Linked DNA regions of Drosophila melanogaster. The protein of the gene in region 3 interacts with the protein of the main gene of each other region in a pairwise test. Each region holds a gene or a part of one and is shown on either strand. Other genes may lie near its edges.

The links.
Region 1: the proteins of CG10650 (region 3) and Sirt4 interact in a two-hybrid assay, tested with the Drosophila melanogaster proteins (one large-scale study listed by BioGRID).
Region 2: the proteins of CG10650 (region 3) and H2.0 interact in a two-hybrid assay, tested with the Drosophila melanogaster proteins (one large-scale study listed by BioGRID).
Region 4: the proteins of CG10650 (region 3) and CG13840 interact in a two-hybrid assay, tested with the Drosophila melanogaster proteins (one large-scale study listed by BioGRID).

The regions. Positions count from the first base shown.
Region 1 is NC_004354.4:5,664,102-5,667,481, forward strand, and holds Sirt4 (sirtuin 4), read right to left. Parts: upstream 1,840-3,380; 5' UTR 1,768-1,839; coding exon 1,587-1,767; intron 1,527-1,586; exon of another isoform or gene 1,386-1,526; coding exon 628-1,385; 3' UTR 527-627; downstream 1-526. Other genes in the region: CG4119 (uncharacterized protein), read left to right, coding at 2,305-2,367, 2,456-2,697, 3,109-3,380. UniProt on the Drosophila melanogaster protein: NAD-dependent protein deacylase. Catalyzes the NAD-dependent hydrolysis of acyl groups from lysine residues.
Region 2 is NT_033779.5:6,013,375-6,021,243, reverse strand, and holds the start of H2.0 (homeodomain protein 2.0), read left to right. Parts: upstream 1-1,841; 5' UTR 1,842-2,050; coding exon 2,051-2,567; intron 2,568-7,147; coding exon 7,148-7,644; intron 7,645-7,746; coding exon 7,747-7,869. Other genes in the region: CG13996 (uncharacterized protein), read right to left, coding at 1-27, 80-394. UniProt on the Drosophila melanogaster protein: May play a role in pattern formation during embryonic and imaginal development. Is not essential for visceral muscle morphogenesis.
Region 3 is NT_033779.5:18,992,832-18,997,798, reverse strand, and holds CG10650 (uncharacterized protein), read left to right. Parts: upstream 1-1,864; 5' UTR 1,865-1,944; coding exon 1,945-2,020; intron 2,021-2,086; coding exon 2,087-2,197; intron 2,198-2,777; coding exon 2,778-3,662; intron 3,663-3,807; coding exon 3,808-4,013; 3' UTR 4,014-4,439; downstream 4,440-4,967. Other genes in the region: CG46465 (uncharacterized protein), read right to left, coding at 4,568-4,967.
Region 4 is NT_033777.3:22,813,938-22,817,822, forward strand, and holds CG13840 (uncharacterized protein), read right to left. Parts: upstream 2,242-3,885; 5' UTR 2,101-2,241; coding exon 700-2,100; 3' UTR 546-699; downstream 1-545.

The DNA.
Region 1 (3,380 bases), on a different chromosome or scaffold from region 3:
TTAATATAATTATATTATTATTATTATTATTCTTAGCAGTCCTTCGATTTTGCCCATTGTGCGAGGTCTACGCATTGTTTTTCTAGCAGGAATGGACGATTGTCGTAGGAGGGGGGGTAATGAACCGCGTGTGAAAAGTGTCACTGGCCGTGTATGTGTGTGTGCGATGTGTGTTTGTGTGTGCGAGCGGGAGATGCCGATGCCTCAATTGCGGTTCATTTATATGGAGCACTGAGAGCAGCGGCCTGGAGCAAAAACAAAAACATTCAACGGGAGCGAGCGGAAGTGCGCAGCTCTCCCCGGCGCTCCTGCTTCCGCTTCCTGTTGGGATGTGCTGGAATTTCAGAGCACAGGACACTGAGAGAGACAGAGAGGACATGGACTCGGAACCCATGTGCTTGGGGGATGAGCGAATCCTTTTCCCGGAAAGCGTGTCATTGTGTTTCGCTCCAGAGGAGCCTGCGCGAAAATGATCCAAAGGCACAGCCATAAATCAGGAGCTCCGTTGCAACGCTACATTCCATTTGCAAATAGTAATCATTAACATTTATTTTTTAGCTAAAATAGAAAGCCTGGCTTTCCATAACTACAAATTTAGTGGGGGTCAACATATAACAACTGTGAGTATTAACTGACGCTTTTCGAATTGCGAAAGTCGAACAGTTTGGGTATGACATCGCCGCACTTGGCGGATATCTTGATATCCGCCAGGTGATCGGCGCGCGTTTCGCCAATATTAACAATGCCCACCGGTAGCTTGAGGTCCTTGGTCTGCAGGACAACGCGGTAGCCGGAGAAGACCAGGAGACTGGACCCGAGGACAAGCAGGCCATCGCTATTGTACACCATGCCGGCAATCTGATCCACTCGTGGCCGAGGCACAGAATCTCCGAAGAAGACAATTTCCGGCTTCAAGTCGCCGCCGCACTGCGTACACTCGGGTATCCGGAAGTTCTCGATGTACTCCAGCGGTATCTCTACATCGCCATCGGGCCGGATCATGTCGGGGGCATCTTTGAAGGCCGGATTTAGCGACGCCAGTATGCTCTGGAACTCGTGACGATCGATCCGGTACTCGCATGACAGGCACTTGACCACATAGCCACTGCCATGAACCTCCACAACATTTCGGCTGCCCGCCTTCGTGTGCAGCCGGTCCACGTTCTGGGTGACCACCGCCTGGACCCGCTCCTCCCGCTCGAATCTGGCCAGCGCGTGATGCGTGGCATTGGGCTGTGTGGCAGAAAACTTGGGCCAGCCCACAAAGTTCCTGGCCCAGTACCGCTTGCGCACCGCCGACGACTTGACGAACTCCATGTGCTGGACGGGCTTGTGGTTGGAGCGGGCGTAGAGGCCCACGCCTTCGGAACGGTAATCGGGAATCCCTGGAATTTATTTCAAGTTTTTAGACAGCCAGAAATGTTGATTTAAATAAAATACTAATGCGAATCCAAGTATAAGCTAGAAGTCACTTGCATTAGCATTATATAAATAAATGAATAATGTACAAGCTTTTGGAAGTCAATCTGAAATATTTGTGTTAATGGCTTCTGAACATAGAAAAGTCGGAAAATCATGAAACTCACCCGATTCCGTCGAGATGCCAGCGCCCGTGAGAACCAAAACATTCGGTTTGGACAGGAGAAAGTCCTCCAGCCGTTTGATGTCGTCCTCCACGACGGGCTTGTGATGCGGCACGTACTCCTGCCTGGCGGTGGAGCTGCGCAAGCTGGTGCTCCGGAAGCGGAGCAGCTGGCCCACACGCATTGTTTTGTTATGTATTATTGCAAGTAATATTTGGTTCTTTTTCGGTTACGTTACTAGAGGTGAGCGCACGCACATCGATGGCAACTCCTTCAGTCGCTTACCGCTGTAAATCGATTGTATGCCCCGCAATGGCAATCGATAACTGTACGACCCCCATCGATTTTTACACGCCATCAGCCGATAGCAGCTTGCCAGCAGCTACCATCTCTAGAGCAACGGCTGCAGAAAAAAGATATTCTATTCGGTAATTTACGCGTGGATTTATCACGCGCCGTGAACCCAGAAGTTACAGGCCAACCTTTCCGAGATTCGATCAGTGAACCTTGCGGGCGTCCAGCTTCGTAAGCACGAAACAGGACATTCACACACATATTTATCACTCCGTGTGGCGTTTGCGCCCATCCGTGCGTGCCTGTGTGTGTGTGTGTCGCTCGTCTGTGCGTGCGTGAGTGTGTTTGTGAATTGTCGGCTTTAATTTTGCAAGCTCGCTAAAGTTGTGTTTTCAAAGGACATCGCAAAGGAGTCGCAGCGCACAAGATGTCGTACCCGCCGCGGGCGCCCATGCCGCCCTTCATGAATACAGCCATACCGCCGCCGCACGTAAGTCCACCTTTTCTGGGTCACAATCACCATGAAGCTGTCAGAATCTGACGCCAAATCCTTTTCCACCTACTCCATCCGCTTTCAGATAATGCAGAACATGGCCAAGCCGCCGAGGAGCTTCCGTAACTCGGCCACCATTAGTTCACAGCCGACAGTATACCAACGTCCGCCGGAGCCGCAACCACAGTTCCGCGGACCCATCATTACCGTCTTCGTGGGCAACATCAGCGAACGCGTCCCGGAGGCACTGCTCAAACGCATCCTGAACGCTTGCGGCGTGGTAATCAATTGGAAACGGGTGTCCACATTCGGCTTCTGCGAATTTGAGTACGTTCAACCATAAATCGGTCATCCCAAAATCACTTTAGAAGGCTTAGGGCAGCACAAGAAGGTTTCGTTAGTTAAATAACGCTAGAAAAGTAATTGAAGAGCCATTGCATAAACAGCAGCATAACGCATCTCACTCGTTGTTTGATGCGTTTCCTAGAATAGCTTAGCTTATTTATAAAAAGATTGAAATACTTCTAGGAATGCTCCCTACTGCGACAGCTCTTCAAATTCTATATGCGCGATCGAATAACTACTCGAGCACTTTTAAGTAACCTAACTTTAAGCAATACAACACAGGGTTGAGCTTGCATACATTTATGTTTAGAGCCAACGGGCAGTCCACCCATTTGGCTCTCCAATTGTTCCTATAAATACTCTGCCTAACCGCTTTCCTTGGCATTCTTTCAGCGGACCTATTGCGGCAATGCGAGCCGTTCGCCTGCTCAGCGAGATGGAAATCGATGGCAAGAAGCTGGTAGCCAAGGTAGATGCCAAGAACAAGGTTCTCATCGAGGATTACAAGGAGCAGGAGTGCAAGAACGGCGATCGTTCCAACCCAGTGGACGAAAAGACCGAGGACGAGTTCGCCATTGCCCAGATGCACGAATTCCTGGAAGAGCACAAGCACGAGTTCGAAGGATTCGATAGCAGCAGTCGCGCCGATTTGTACGGCAGCGCCA
Region 2 (7,869 bases), about 13 Mb from region 3:
ATCAATGTAGTTCTCCCGAAAAGTTTGCTGTAACGAAGCTATAGGTTACCCAACATAGTGAGTAAGAATCTTAGCCCACCTCGTACTCGGGATAACCAAAGTTGCGCAGCCAGTCGGTCACATCGTTGATGCTCCACTTGAAGACCTCAGTGCGGGCTTGGGAATCCACGACGGCGGCGCAGAGATTGAAGAGCGAGTCCGGCGAGGCCTTGAAGGGTAGCGGCACATCCTCCTTGTCGTACTCCACGTCCGGAAACATGTAGCTGGGATAGCGAAAGCAGAACTCCTGCTCATCCTGCGGCGGCTCACAGATATCCGGACTGTCCATGCCACTGGCACTGTGCGGCAGTGGTGACGGTATGGTGGAGCACCTGGACGCTGAGAACGACTCCATTCGAGTGGTGGCAGCGCACTGTTCCTGGGCCAAAGTGAATTGAGTTGCCCCGCAACGATTTGGTTGCGGTTTCCAGCGATTCCTCAAGAATAAGTGGCGTTCGTGTCTGTTTACATAGTTTGATTGCGTTTCGCTTTCATTTGTTGTATGCCCTATAATTTTCCGGGAAAAGTTGTTGGCTACAATCACTAAGGCTCAATTTGCACTTTAAATGGGTTAATGGAATTTAAGCCATGCTCTTTCCAATCAGTATCTTTGAACGTTCGGCATATCCTGGAATGTATCTGAATCTTTTTTTTTAAGTAAAAAGGATTATTTTATTATTAATCGGACTTCACTTTGAAGAGGATAAAAGTGTCACCGACTGGCGATGGATTTTCCGCTGCCATTGCATTTGCATATTCCACATTTTCTGGGTCACTTTGTGGGCTTGTGGTGCTAGGGTGTTTTTGGCACCAAATCCGCCCGCTTGGATGGGAGTTTTGTGCCGGAAAGTATGCTATCTTAAGGTAGTCACGACAATTTTCCTATTAATAACGCCAGTTTCGCTCCGCAATTTACACATTTCTACTTAAGTTTTCCAACCCCGACGATCCGTTCGTGTTCCGTTTTGCGGATTTCCGCTTGTGGAATGCGGTTTCTGATTTATGACCACCAGTCCCGGTTACCCACTTCATTGAACCCAGACAGCGTGGAGCAGGTGGAGTTCGCGCAGATCGCTCAATCCCAAGCCAATGGAAGGCACATTCCTTGGGCGCGAAAGCGAGATGCCGCATCAGCGCCACCAGTGGCTCCGCCCACCACTGCGGATCGATCGCATTGGCCAGAAATCACGAACCACGAGCCACTCGACATGGCCTCTGCGCAGGGAAACCGGAATTCGGATGGGGTGTGTGTGTCTGTGTGTGGGAGTACGGGAACATATGGAGAAATCGGTAAACAAATCTCGGCTGCGCTCGAGGAAACGATCTCCGACTGAGCTAATGACACAGCGGCATGCTTGTGTGTAAACAAGCGATCGGCATGGCAAGGTATCCCATCTGTGTGTGGCTACAGTGGGATCAGGTCTATGGTAAGTGGATTAACATAATTTTAGGGCACTTTCTAGAGGTATATAGATCTTCAGCGGAATAGAAACCAATGTTACCACCAACCGAAGCCCAAAAATCTAATCTTTCTTGATAGTATTACTCTTCTTGAGTATTACTTTATAAACAATATACACGTTGGATAAAAAAATATCCTGGTTTGTATATCCTGTATATCGAACATATAGCCATTATTTATTGTTAGCATTATATCCTGATCATCTCGCACTCCTTGCCCCACTGTCAGCACCAGGAATACACAATCTCAGCGAGATTAACCCCACCGCCAACAGACTGTTCCGCGTTGGCTGGCCGATCGGCAATCGATGGCTGGTTGAGCGTGCTCCCTGGCCGGTTCCGATCAGTTCTGAGTGGGATGTCTTGCAAGGCGGTTTAATCGGAGGTGCACGAGACCTAAGCCAAAATTCGCGATCGTTTTATTGGTGCACAGCGACGGTGTTTTGGACATGATAGATAGTCCCTATCGATTGTGAACGTGTGAAATCAGTTTTGAGTGTCCTGTGTCGAGATTCGTAGATAGAAACCATATACAACACATATCCGGACAATGTTACTACACGAGAGTGCCGCCAGCATGGAACAGAGTATGCCCGAGAACCTCAGCACTCACATGTACGGCGAGTGTGAAGTGAATCCAACGCTGGCAAAGTGTCCCGATCCAGTGAATGTCGATCATGAGCTGCCCACCAAAGAATCCTGTGCCTCGACTACCATAGTCAGTACGTCGCCAACCAGCGCCACGAGCACCACCAAAGTCAAGCTGAGCTTCAGTGTGGATCGTCTGTTGGGCTCGGAACCCGAGGAATCCCACCGGCAGAGCTCCTCCTCGCCCTCGACCAAGTCATGCTGCGATGGCAGCATTCTAGCCTGCTGCTCCTTCCCCCACTGCTTCAGCCAGGCGAATGCCGAATCCCGTAGGTTTGGACATGCCACGCTTCCGCCCACTTTCACACCCACTTCATCGCACACGTACCCCTTCGTGGGTCTGGATAAGCTGTTCCCTGGCCCCTATATGGATTACAAATCAGTGCTCAGACCGACGCCAATTCGGGCAGCAGAACACGGTAAGGATGCACTATACTCAAAAGGGAACATCCTTTGAATCCGAGCAGGTTTTACAAAAAAAATGTCCATTTGAAAGTAAATCATTCAAAATTACCATTAAGTGCACGGCATTTGGAACATCATGAGCAAACCGAGTTGATAGAAGGAAAACATTTAATCTCTGTAAGGGATGCCTTAAATTAATATGAACTATATTGGTACTGATCCGTATTACATGGATTATAGGTACCTAAGTGTATTTTTAAGATACTTTTAAACTTAAAAGGAATCAGCTCCATACAGAAAGCTATTGAAACATCATTCGTTCGCAGTGAACCTCTTCTAGTTCCAACAACGTACCACTTATCAAAATAATATTTTATACCCATGACTCTATCTTGTAGATACGATCTATCATCTGCACTATTTCAATCTCCCCGTATGTTGTGTGCACTTGCAGCGCCAATAAAACTGATCAAAGCTAATCAGATATTGCGATTTGTCAATCATTCTGCATTCTTTCCATGGAAATATGCAGGATCTCAGGGAACGATCAAACGAGTTGATGAGGTGGCTTCGCCATTTGCCCATCAAAATTCCTTAGCTATTTCGCTCTGTTTTTCAATTATGGACTATAATTATTAGCCATGTTGAGATTTGCAGAGAAAATCGTGAAATGGAATTTAGCCAAATGGGAAATGAACATTCCTGGAAACACAAAGAGTGAGAACCTAAGGCGCAGCCCCAATAAATTTCACGTTTTTATTTGAATTATTAGTTGATCTGCAGCCATATTGTGCAATATTCCTGCGGCCAAATGTTCCGCGCCTTTGGCTCTTGACGAAAACAATTCGATTTTTGAAATCGACAACAAAATAGTCCGGATTGTTTTGGGTATTTGCCGTACTTCCTGCTGTTTTTGTATATCTGGGGACGAAGACTTCTTATAAAGCCTGCAGGCTGCCAGCGCACTTTGATCTTGTTTATGTGAAAATGGAAATGGAAATGGAAATAGTGAGAGCAACATAATCGGTAAATGTTTCGCTTTTCGAATAGAAATTGTTCATTGTTTAACAAGCTGCTTGAGTTTTATACATATCGTCAGCACAGCCTTTTCCCATTCAATATTGTACACAATTCTTATCAAGTGGGTGCTAACAATGCGAGGGCCTTAAACGATCTTAAAGATCTTTTGCGGATAAATGAGATACATATTTGGTTTGGGATTCCTCAATGGATAAATTGATTAGGAAATGTCTGAGATATTAATTTATTTCAAAATAAGAGACCCGCAAATATGTGGAGCTATACTAAAATGATGTGTAAATGGTATTAGCGAGCTTAACTTAAAGCTTACTATAGTTTAGACCTAGTTACAAGTAGCAAAATACAATTTTTTAACAGCCGACTAAAACATATTCAAAAAAGACTTTGGTTGATTCATCCAACGTAAATTCGATACTAATAGCCCTTTAAATTCCGCCAAATTCCAGCACACGATTAAATTATGTAGCAAAATTAGCGCCAAACTTAAATAAATTACACTTCACACAATGATGGAACATTAATGAAAATTATCATCAGTGCTAAGTGGTTTTCAAACACATTTGCTCAGCCAAAAATGGGAGGAGCAATTAGTAAGGCGAATAAATTCGACATAGCTCAATCAACAAAAGATCGGTAAAAAAAAAACGAAGAACAGACAGCACCTGAAAGGCTTCATCAATCCTTTGGGCACCGCAAATAGATGAGATGCCAAAGACCAAAGTGGAAAATTAAGAACAATTTATGAACAAATTACGAGTCAGTCTTTAAAAATAAACTTCAAGCTCACACGGATCGTGGAAAACGTTTGTGGCGAACAGTTTGTTTATTTGCTTGGGCAATTGGCCCGTCATTCATGGGCAGATACAGATAGCTATCCATCTAATTGCCCGCTCTCTAATGAATTGTTCCGCCGGCCGAGGAGTTCGACAGGTGGAGGCATCTTTGGCCCGGCTAGAGACGCGGATCTCTGATAGATTGGGCGCCACGGTTCCAACTACTGCGGCTCAACCGACTCCAATGAGGCTCGGCTGCCGTTTAGGCCAACGACAGGGAACTGCTGACCGATGGATGACTGTACCGGGTATGGGTACGGGCACGGGCACGGGTGAAACTATGCGCTGTTCTTTGGGGGCCGAGCCAAAAGGCCAAGTATTTACACAACCACCCACTGTGGTGGCCTTTTCAGGAGGAGGCTACCCTGTGGCTGCCCGCCGTGTCCAACCTGCCGGCCCCTGCGGAATTATTCCGTGATGGATTGATTGCATCGCATCGCACATCATAAAATCATGGACCAGCGAGATCTCTGCGGCTCCTCCGTCGACTATTTGTTGCTGTTTGCCTGTCCCGCCTGGCGATGAGTAGTTTGTTGATCTGTTGTTGTTGCTCTTCTGGCTGCCGATCAATCGATCCATCCATCGATCGATTGGATGCTACAGACCATTGTCTGATATGGAAATTCTGTCTGAACAATAATCCGGCGCCGTGGGTCTAATTAATTAGCAATTTATATGTTAATCCAACTGATAGATGCACTTTCAAAGCGTTCGAAGATCCCTGATTAATGATGGCCCTCAGACGATTTCTTTTGGAACTTTGAAGACTCTTTCTCAAGTTCCCAACAGCAGGGGAGGGTTGTAGCAATAATAATTACCACGCACTCAACTCAAATTAACGGGACTGATATATGTATGTAGATACCACAACTATAGGATTAACTATAATGAATTGAGTGAAAATTGACGACAATCCCAAGTAGCTAAAGATATTTCACGAAATATACAATTGAAATATTAGCTATACTTTTGATTTCACTTAAATATTTTGAAAGTACATAATGCAGATAATATATCTTAGTGCATAGTTAGCTGGTAAAAGTCAGAGATTCGGATGTTCGGAAGTAGATACATATGTATAATATATTAAAATCAATCAAATAAACACATACTCCGCTTGTCGAGCTGGTAGTCGAAATTTCCATAGCACATGGCCCACTGGGAGTGCTCTGCTTAACCCCAAAAGATCATTCGCAATTTACCGCGAAATAAGCCACAATATTCGCCAAGTCGTAAATGTGGAATGCATCGTGCTAATAAATCGATGCAACTTAAATATGGCTGCGAAATGTACGATTCGCAAACACATCCTACTGGAGATGCATCTGCAACCCAGACCCTTGAGTGATTTAAGATGGCATCCGAAAAATTATCACAACTCATTAAGATATTTACGGGTCCGCTGGCGGTATTTTGTAAATGTATCTGAACGGGAAAGTCGGCAATTAATGATCTCGCGCTGTGAGTGAACCCCAATGCCCCGGCCAACATCCAAGGTGTTGAAAGTCGGTGAAAACTCATTATAACAAACCCCCGATGGTTGACACAAGCCAAATGCCAAAACGGCCAATTAAGGCGTTATTAGCCCCTGCAGATGTGCTGAGATTCCATTGGCGTTCCCGATGCAGATACACAAGCGCACGGATTGAGATACAATTGTATCCACAAGTGCAGAAGCGCATTTCCGCTGCAGTGTAAATACACACAATCGATCGAGTAGTGTGTTGCTTAAGTAAATAAAACGCTCGATCTCGAAAACAATTAGGCGCATGCCGCGAGCACACAAACAAATCGAATTCCACATAGCACAACGTTAAAAAGGCAATAAAAAATACCTATGATAATTTAGCGTTGGCTACAAACAAAGAGGAATGGTTTGCAGTTTGAAATCAAATAAAATTCAATGAAAAAGTCAAGGATAGGAATTAAAATTGTGGCCTTTTAACAACATCAGGATTACATTTCATATCAACATTAGTGAACATTATCGTGAACTGAGGATTCAAAGGAACTTTTTGTAGCATACTTTTCAGCGGAGTCCTTTGAGTTGATAAATGCCGTAATGATCTTGATTGAAACTCAGTAGTTAGATAAAGGATAGTAAATGCCAATAATGATTGGAAATACAATAGGAAAGTCAACGTCATTCGAATTGTTTCTTACTGCGTGTATAAATTCTTGGATATTTAAAAAACATTTAAGGGAAGTAAAGCACCCTGGTTCGACCTCAACCTCGTGTGCCCCATGTCGTGTTCGATTACCCCAAATAATTTTGGATCTCTAGAGGTAATTGTTGTTGTTTAGATTCGCGCTAGAAGTAAACAAATTTCGTTTGCCCCCCCTAGCCACAAAACGCTTCAATGATAATTTCCAATTAAGTGAAAATTTTATTATAAACAAGCCCATTTAAAAATTCTCAACATGCATTTTATTGATCAAAATAATTTACTCAGAAAACACAAAAAATTGAATTTCATATTTTCTTTGGCGAAACAAGTATCATTTCTTTGGCCGGCGATAAATGTATTATTTCCTGCGGATGCAATGTGCTACCAAGGGAGGATGTTGTCCATAACTAATGGTAGTTTTCCTATAAAAATAAATATCCAAATTGGTGCGTAAAAAACGCACCGGATTCAGTATAGCAACAAATTAAGAGTTATTGCTAATGAAGGAAGTATGAATCTCCCAATTGACTTTAACATTCCATTCCCGAACAGCCGCACCCACTTATCCCACGCTGGCTACCAATGCGCTCCTCCGCTTCCATCAACATCAGAAGCAGCAGCACCAGCAGCATCATCATCATCAGCACCATCCCAAACACCTCCATCAGCAGCACAAGCCCCCGCCACACAACTCGACGACAGCCTCGGCGCTACTGGCGCCGCTCCACAGCCTCACGAGCCTCCAGCTGACGCAACAGCAGCAGCGATTTCTGGGCAAGACGCCGCAGCAGCTCCTGGACATAGCGCCCACCTCGCCCGCCGCCGCCGCCGCTGCCACATCCCAGAACGGTGCACATGGACATGGAGGTGGCAATGGCCAGGGCAACGCCTCAGCCGGAAGCAATGGGAAGCGCAAGCGATCCTGGTCTCGCGCCGTCTTCTCGAATCTGCAGCGCAAGGGCCTGGAGATTCAGTTCCAGCAGCAGAAGTACATCACCAAGCCAGATCGCCGCAAGCTGGCGGCACGACTGAATCTCACCGACGCTCAGGTTAGTTAAAAGATGGGATTTTCATAGTTTAACATTTGCACATTCGACTCCTTTCATAGCTCTATAAAAACCAATATATTATTATTTTTATACCCTGATTAGGTCAAGGTGTGGTTCCAGAACCGTCGCATGAAGTGGCGGCACACGCGCGAGAATCTGAAGAGTGGCCAGGAGAAGCAGCCGAGTGCAGTACCCGAATCCGGAGGTGTCTTCAAGACATCCACG
Region 3 (4,967 bases):
TGCTACTCAGGTAAAATTTATTCCACACGCCTTCAACGTCACTGGCACTTTAAAATCTTGAACTTCTACTATAATATAATGACCAGCATTTTTGGTCTTCTGCAAAGAAGTCGTTACCAAGAATCTAAAGCTTTTTGTAATTTGTTGACGTAGGTTTCCGAGATCTCGACGCTTATATGGACAGACATAGTCGGATCGAATGATCAAAAATATTTATACCTTCTAGGCTTGAAGTCACTTGCACTTTTCAACGTATAACATGCTTTCCAACGAACTAATTTATTAAATTGCAATGCCAGAAATTCAACTAAACAGCAATACGTCCGCGCGTAGAAAAGATCTTAAAGGTACTGAGTGTGAGCAACATGATTAGCTCTCGGTGCTAAATTCGCCGGAGATAACCCAGATTAGATTTCGGTTATATTTTTTGAAGATAATGGCTTTATGTTGAATACCAGTCTGGTTCAAAAAAACCTTAAATGATATGCTAAAGATAAAAAGATATAAAAGTATGTACTTACTATTTGTACTTTGTTTTATTGAATCATTTTGTCTAGACTTCAACTTAAACCTTAATAACATAAAACACCGGCATGTGCAGAATTTAAGAAGTCGCCCAAATACAATAAATAATAATAATTTTTATTAAGACACTGAGAGAAAAATTAAGTTTCGATATTAAATTAGGAACGAACGATAAAAAAAAAAAAAACTTAAAAGCAAACACATAAGTTCAAGAACGAGTAACCGAAATTATAAACTTGAGAACGAACGTTCACATATAAACAAAAGTCTCACTTCAATCCTCAAGTATCGTTAAGATATATGACTTGTAGTTAAGGCACATTGTTTATATGTTATTAGCCAGAAAATTGGGCAATACAGCTTTACATATATAATTGTACACTTTCCTCGTAGAATATAAGGGTTAAAAACTATGAAACAAGAAAGTGTTTTTGACCCTACAAATGTGTATTTATTCAATTAAATCTGGGTATCTGATAGGAATTGAGTTCTTTCTTGTTAGTTCAAATTACATTATTTTTTTTATCAATGGAACTATAGTCAATCCATAATCAAATGGAAAGTTTGTCGAACCTGTAAAATCTGGAAATTGAGATTATTCATGCAGTTTTTGGTGGCGCCTTTTATTTTTATACCCTTGCAAATGGTACATTGATTTCATTCAGATTCGTATATTCAACAGTAGAGTCGATACAGTCATGTTTGTCTTCGTTCAATTTCAGTTAGTATACATATAGGTTGGACCACTATATCATATTGCTGTTATAGGGATAATCGAAAAATAATGGTAAGTATTAATATATGTATGAGATATACAACAGTTTTTGACCATATTTTAATTTGATGAAAATCAAAAGAAAATATATCATATAACTGCCGTACAGCCAAGGCAAACCAAATTTTAATTAAAGTATTTAATTATCGTTATAATTGTGTTCAATTATCCGCCGGCTAGATCGGAAACAGGAAGTTACTGTTGATGTATATTCGTTTAAGGAAATACGGTAAGAACGTTGGCAGCATGGGTTAATTTTTCAGCTTTTGCAAAAGCTCCAAAGTAAATGCAGGCTTGTGGTAACTATCATCGCATGTGAACAGCGTTGTACACACACACACTTGCACATTTACACCTGGGTATTGAAGTTATCAGCTAAAAGAGAACTGACTTCCTCCGATTGTACATATATATATATATATATATATATATGTATACAAACATATATATGTGTGTAGAGCAGATAACCACTGCATGCGGAGAAGAGCTTGGCAGGTGTTAGTGAGTTCAGGTGAAATTGATTATGCGAATGGGGGTAAAAAAAATATGGCCAAACAGTGAGGGAGCCAGTTAAAAAACGGTGGTCGATCCAGCCGGTCCGACATTTCAGTTGAGAAGCCAGAAAGAATAGAAAACCGAGAGCCATGAGAGAATACAGCCTGTGTATGATTGTGATAGCAGCTTTCATTGCCAGCCAGCTGGACAGCACCTCAGCCCTCCGTAGGTTACCACATTTTGGATGAGTTTTTTCAAATGACTTACTTCAAATTATTATTGCCATTGCAGAGTGCTATTCGTGCACATCGACGACGAATGACACTGGAAATTGTTTAACGAGTCCATCTACTCAAACTTCTATAGAGTGTGATAATGAATGCTATACTCTTATTAACGCAGGTGGGTTTGTATGACTCATGACCGACTATTTCATATTCTTAGACGGGGGTAGTGGCCCTCTTATCGATCAGTGCAACCAAAGGTGATAAGCGATTATCTCTTTTTCTTTTTGATAGCTATTGATCCTTGTTTTCTTTTCTAATTTCGTGCGGATCGAAAAAGGTTTATGATGTTGTGACTCATTTGGCAGTTACTGCACTACCTGGCTTTTTCGTGTTGTTGTCTAAGATTTAAATATTGCGTATAATTTGATTTAATAACGAAGAGAACGCTAAAGTGGAGTCACTCGACCATCAGATACCTCTTTATTCAGCTTGTGGGAGTTTAAGGTACACATTTAAACATTCTGTTGAAGTATCAGTAGAATCTGGCACGCTTTGTGGGCTTTAGAGTGGGCGTGAAAATGATCTGAATGAAATTAGCACAGCTTAGGCGCCACTAGAATCTGCAGGCTCTCAACTTATAAGGAATATATAAGTTATATTAGAAATCATTATAAGTTTATATTAGAAATCATACGAAGTTTTGCTCTGAACCATATTCCCTTGCATCTAGTTATTGATTTTCTGTATCCCAATAGGAACTCTAACTCGTGGCTGCTTGATTAATGGCACTGCGTGCACCTTACCATCCTGCTCGACCTGCAAGGAAGACAATTGCAATTTGAATTTGGTGTGCCAGCAGTGCCTCGGCGAAGCGAATTGCGCCACGACCAACGTGACGGATACGCAATACAATGCAGTGTGCCCCAATAATGGACAGGTCTGCGTGAATCAGTTGAATGACAACAAGACGGTGACCCGTCAATGTGGTGACCCCTGTGCTGCTGGAACGGAATCCACGTGCTCCTCATGCTCGGCATCCCTGTGCAATGTGGGACTATTCCCCGCCAATCGTCGCCAGTGCTATAATTGCTCAGGAGAGAACTGCAATGCGGTCTCAAATACCTTGGTCGCGGGATGTAGTCAAATCGATGCCGGGTGCTTCACCACCGGAACGTCTGCGAGCAACATGACCCGTGGTTGCACATCGGCCACCACGGAAATCAAGTGTGCGTCGGACAGCACTGATCCCAGTTGCCTCGTCTGCAACTCCGACTTTTGCAATAGTCCGACCTACGAACGAGAGGCCGGTTCCTGTATCATTTGCGAGAACTGTGCGGAGCAACAGGTTGCTACCAATGCGAAGTCCTGCGGACAGGCCAAGTACAACCAGGAAGTCGGGTGTTATACCATGACCTCAGGAACCAATGTTACCCGAGGGTGCCTAAACACCTTGGAGGCTGGCTGCTCTACAACCAATGCCTGCACTTCCTGCTCCGAAAATGGCTGCAATGTGGCTGCCGGCGAGTTCCAGTGCATTACATGCATTTCGAATGAGGTTTCCGGCTGCTGGTCGGCCAAATATCCGGACACGCTCCCTTTGATCAACTGCCCCAATGGAACGTGCTACAGCGGAGTCTGGAGTAAGTTGGTACCAAGTCTAAGCACAGCGAATCAATGCTATAGTTTTCAAAGATTTTATTTTATAATGTAAAAGGGTATTCCCAAATTGCATTATTATTATGCCAGCAAAAATCCTAACAATTGCCTTTCAACATTTTCCCCCAGATGAACTTGGAGTGCGAGGATGTTTTACCGCTGCCAGCCACCTGATGCAGTACCAGTGCAATGCCAAAGTGGAGGCCCATCAGTGCGAATTGTGTACGGAGAGCAAGTGCAACAAGGTACCCTTCAATGGAGCAGGCGCACTCAGGAATGTGGGCGTGGTCGGCCTTCTGACGGGAGTGGTGATCGCTCTACGCAGTGCCCTGTAATCCAACCACCTCCACGTAGTTGGATGATCCAATCAAATTACCGGGTGCCTGGGTCTATGAGTAATGTTAACTATTACAAAGCAACAGACAAAAAGACATAACCTAATTATAGGAGCTGAAGCATTTTAAGAACACTTCCATAATCCCAAATAAATCATTTTAATAAAACAATTACTCTTTCACAGTAGTTTAGTAATTATGTCCTTGGAAAACCCTGTTTTCATTGATGGCTAGTGGTAAAAGAGTTTTCAACCTGCTAGGCCTTATCAAATAAAGAAATAATCACAACGCCTTATCAACCGCAGTACCATTAATAATATACTTTGTACATATATGTGTGTATATTTATTGCATCAATCAAAATGAGAGTTTATATTAACAATAGTTCGAAGAAATTTGTTTGGGTGCACTAGAAGAGCCAGTTGGAAATGTCTCAGAAAGTATTTGTAGCATTCTTAGGTAACTCAAATTACATTTTCCATTACATGACGATGGTGATTTCGCCGAATTCCATAATTTTGGTTTTCAATTTGCCATTATTAAGCTGAACAGGCCTATAATATAATCATAAGTTTGCATTTTTCACTCCTAAAGAGCCAGCCGGCTAAACAGAAGATCATTAGACTTGAGTATATTATTCGCGATCCTGCATTCGTGGCCAAACCATTTTTATCTATTTCCACATAGTTGCAATCGTCTTCGAAACACCTCTCACAGAGTTCTGCATGTTTCTCGCAGTGTTCCAGTGAACTCTCGTCCATGTCGGAAATGCAGCTTCTCACCATAAAGCCATCTGGTCCTCCAGCACTGCTGTTGAAGTTGAAGTACATAGATACGCAACCGTTCAATTCGCCTAACTTTATGTGGCACATCTTTTTGCCCTTCCTAGTTCTGGTTTTCCCCTCATTGGGTGAGCAAAATTTACAACTGAGGCATCTTATAGGCGGAGAAAGC
Region 4 (3,885 bases), on a different chromosome or scaffold from region 3:
TGCTGTTTCGTTAACGCCTCGGCGAAGTTGAACGTCGCGTTTATTTGTGCGTCATTGTTGCTCCTTCTGCTGTTTCAGTTAAAAGTTGTTTCAACTGGAGTTACATTTGGCAATTAGCCGCTGCATTTTCTTGCACTTTCGCTGCAGCCCCCTTTTGCATTGCAACCGGACTTCAGCCTCGTTCTGCCCATCGCACTTCAATACATATTTATTAGCCGCATTTGTTGGATTTTAGCTCAATTAAAAAGTTTTACTCGGCTACTTTTCTTCATTTCGGTTTGGGACCTGCCCTGTGACTCCAACTTCAACTTCGACTCCGAATGTGTTGTTTTGTTTGGTAGCTGTTAACTGGGAGTTAGAAACTTGGATTTGGGATCAAGGAGTTGCATGCTGGATGCTTTTGCAGCCACACTGCAGTTGCTGTCGGTGGCCTTTTTTGTCTTCTTGTTTTGCTAATTGCAATTACTTTTTGGGGTTCAGTCACTAGAAATTAAGGCATAAGCTGAATTTGAAATACTCTAGCCGTTAATCAAACTGCATAACATGAAAAATTAATAAATGTATTTAATTCAACTTAAGAACATTCCACCAAAAATATATTTATCGACTACCCTACAGTTTGTACTTTTACTTTACAAATCAAAAAACCCCTTTTGCAAGGGTATAAAACTGGCTTAAGAATTTATTCTTAAGATAGACTCATCCCAGCAGATGATTGCCGTTGGCACTCCAGCCGGGTGCCACGTAGTGGGGGCGCTGCTTGTGCACCACCGTGCGCACCACTGGCACTTTGACCGGATACGGATAATAAACTGGCGAGACCACCGGCTTCTCCACTCGGTAGGGTACCCTGCGCTCAACCACAAAGGGAATGGGCCGCTCCACGGGCACCGGCTTCACCCGTTCGATGGGAATCTTAACCTCTTGCATCTGGGGCACGGCCACCGTTTGGGCCACTGGTATTTTGATGGGCATGGGCTTGGGTATGGCTGCGATCACGGTTCGTGGCACTTGCACCTGGACGTTCTGCTTGAAGGGCACATGCTGCTTCTGATAGTGGGTGATGGGCACACTCTTAGTGATCTCGATGTGCTTGGCCAACGGCAATCCGGCTACCGCTTTACTGCTCTCCGGAGTATGGTGCACACTGGTGGTTATGGCTGGGAGATCTGCAATCTGGCTATCCTTGTGAGAGTACAACATCTGCTGGTCCTGGGCAACTCCCAGGCGCTGGTGATGCCGTTGATCCTGAGGATATTGCAGCGCATGTGGCCGCTTTTGTTGCAGATGTTGTTGCAAGTGTGGCTGTTGCAGCTGTCTGCTTTCAGGTTGCTGATAATGTCGCTGCTCCAGTGGCTGGCTTTGCTCCCGGTTTGGATGATGACTCGATAGGGACTCTTCCTGCTGACGCTTAACTGGATTGGCCGGTGTCTGGAGTTCTTTGAGCCGCGCATAGATACTAGTAATATCCTCCTGCTCCTGGTGCTGCTGCTGCTGATGTTGCTCCACCTCCTGCTCCCGCTGGCGATTCTCCCGGTAATTGGAAATTTGTTCGAAATGGTAATCGCTGGGACCGGGTAGCGATGTGGCAAACTGCACCCGCGGCCGATATGCATAGCTTTCGTAGTGCTGCTCCCCATGATGTGGCTCCACATCGTAGCCAGCGGAATTTGGCTCATAATTTGCCGTATTAATGACAAAATCGATATTGGCGGATGGGTCGCGACGCGGCTCCTCATCCGCGGTGAATGGCGAGTGCAGTTTGCTGTTGTAGTAGAAGGGCACAAAGCCATTGGCCGTGGTGCCAAGGGAGGATTGCGAATGGCGATGGTGCTGTTGATGGGTGGCGGCCAGGAGTTTGTGAGCATAATTTCCATATGTTGCCAAGTCATCGCCGGCTGCAGTGTCAGTGGGGCCATAATAATTTCGCGTATATCCTGTTAATCCCGGCAACGAGTCCACACCCGCATCCTGGTAATGGTGTTTGCTGCCATGTTCCAGCGACAGGCCGAGCGGGTACTCCGCCAGGGATAGGGGCAGTGGGGCATCTATGGCCTCCATTGTCATGGCCAAAGCGAGCCACATTAATGCATAGATCATTAATGAACTGGTGGCAGGTGACCCAAAGCCTTGGCCGGATTTTGGCCGCCCCATAACGTTGGGTGGTTGTGTGTGTCCTGAAATCCTGAACTCCTGTGTCCTATATCCTTTGTTCCAATCCGCCAACGGAGTGCGTGTTTGGATGCAGCTGGCGTGGGTGTTGCTCCGCTTTGAAATGCAAATTTGTGACATCGCGATGCTGTTTTTATAGCACACACACACTCTTCAAATGCTTGGAGCGCTCTACTTGTAATTGGATATCCTCGTTGGCACTTCAAGTTCATTGGCCAATCCACCATGGATTGTGTAAGTGGAAGCCCATGCCCAGGCACTCACTTTCACTCGGCGGCACACACCAACTGTTCCAGATAGTCCCTTTCTGGTTGTTCCTTTCAGATGCAAGTGAGGCGGCGATCCGCTGTCCGCACAATTCGCAATCACAAAATACGCAGCTATACCGCAATTGCTAGCCCGCAATGCACATCGACCTATGCACTGTGGTCTAATAGGGCTCAAAAATTAAAAAAGAAAATCTATTGTGGATGTGATAAAAATGGTAAAAATGAAGTTATTAAATTAAGTAAGTTTTGTTTTGAGTGCATAAATATTGCTTCCTTTTTAAGCTAGCATAATATTTGATAATTTTCAACATAGCTGTAACCACTGTGCACCGGTTGGCTCCCAGCCGCATCGGATTTCACACTGTGTGGCAGCTTGCGGTCAATGTCGCGGCCATTCCGATGTTTGATTGCACAAATGGTGACGTGCGCTTCATGTGCTTGCGGTCCGGTCTTTGCCAAGTGCAATCGCCGGAGATTTGAAACGCGTCTGAGATCTCGGATTGCAGCACTTTCAATTTTCATCTGGATGCATTCGACGACATTTGGTATCGTTGCTCTTGCATAATTTACCAGCCACGCCTTCACTCACTCAAAGCTGACAATGCACTTTGGGTCTAAAGTGATTCAATTTTAAAGAACCTTTGCGGGAATAGCATTCTCAGCGATTTTATAGTGCACTCAGCAAAATAGTTGATATAAGATTATAATATTTCTATATTCAGGTTTGTAGAATTGAAGATACATTTAATATGTGATACATAGATATATTATACCTTAGTTACCATTTTTGTGTTTTCTGCCATTCGTAGTTCGTTTAAAGTATTGTAGTGTTATTTTCCGATTTTAATCTTATATTTGTGATTTTCTCTGCGAGTAGTTGCCTCTGGCGGGAAATCAAGGGAAAGTCGGCGAAAAACGGAGATAGAGCGAGTTCTTTTCGTTGCTAGCCTGGCATCCTTGGATCATTCATCATTCTGCTCTGCATTTAAGTTTGCAAAGTTCACCAGGTTCGCATCGCCACCTTTCTCTATATACATATATATATATATATTTGTATATATATAGACCCACCTTAGCCACGCCCCCTTAGAGCGGCGTTAGCAGCAACGCCCACCGTCACCGCACTTTTGAAATAACAGCGCAAAGTACAAGTAAAGTGTATTTTCACATTGAATGAGGTTAAGCTTCGTTAAATTTTGCGCAGCTTCACTGTACAGTTAAACCTCCCCATCCATATCACCTGGAACGAGAGTGTGTGTGTTATACTTGTTGGATGCAATTTTTTTCGCTTCTTTTTCATTACTTCAAATGCTTTCAAGCCCTGTGAAGCATATTTTAGCAAAGTTCCCATAGAAAAGAAGCCAGCCAGCTAGCCACCCAGCTTAACATGGCCAAAATGTGTAAAGAAAAAAATCTACTAAAAAAAAAAAGAACAGAAAATAAA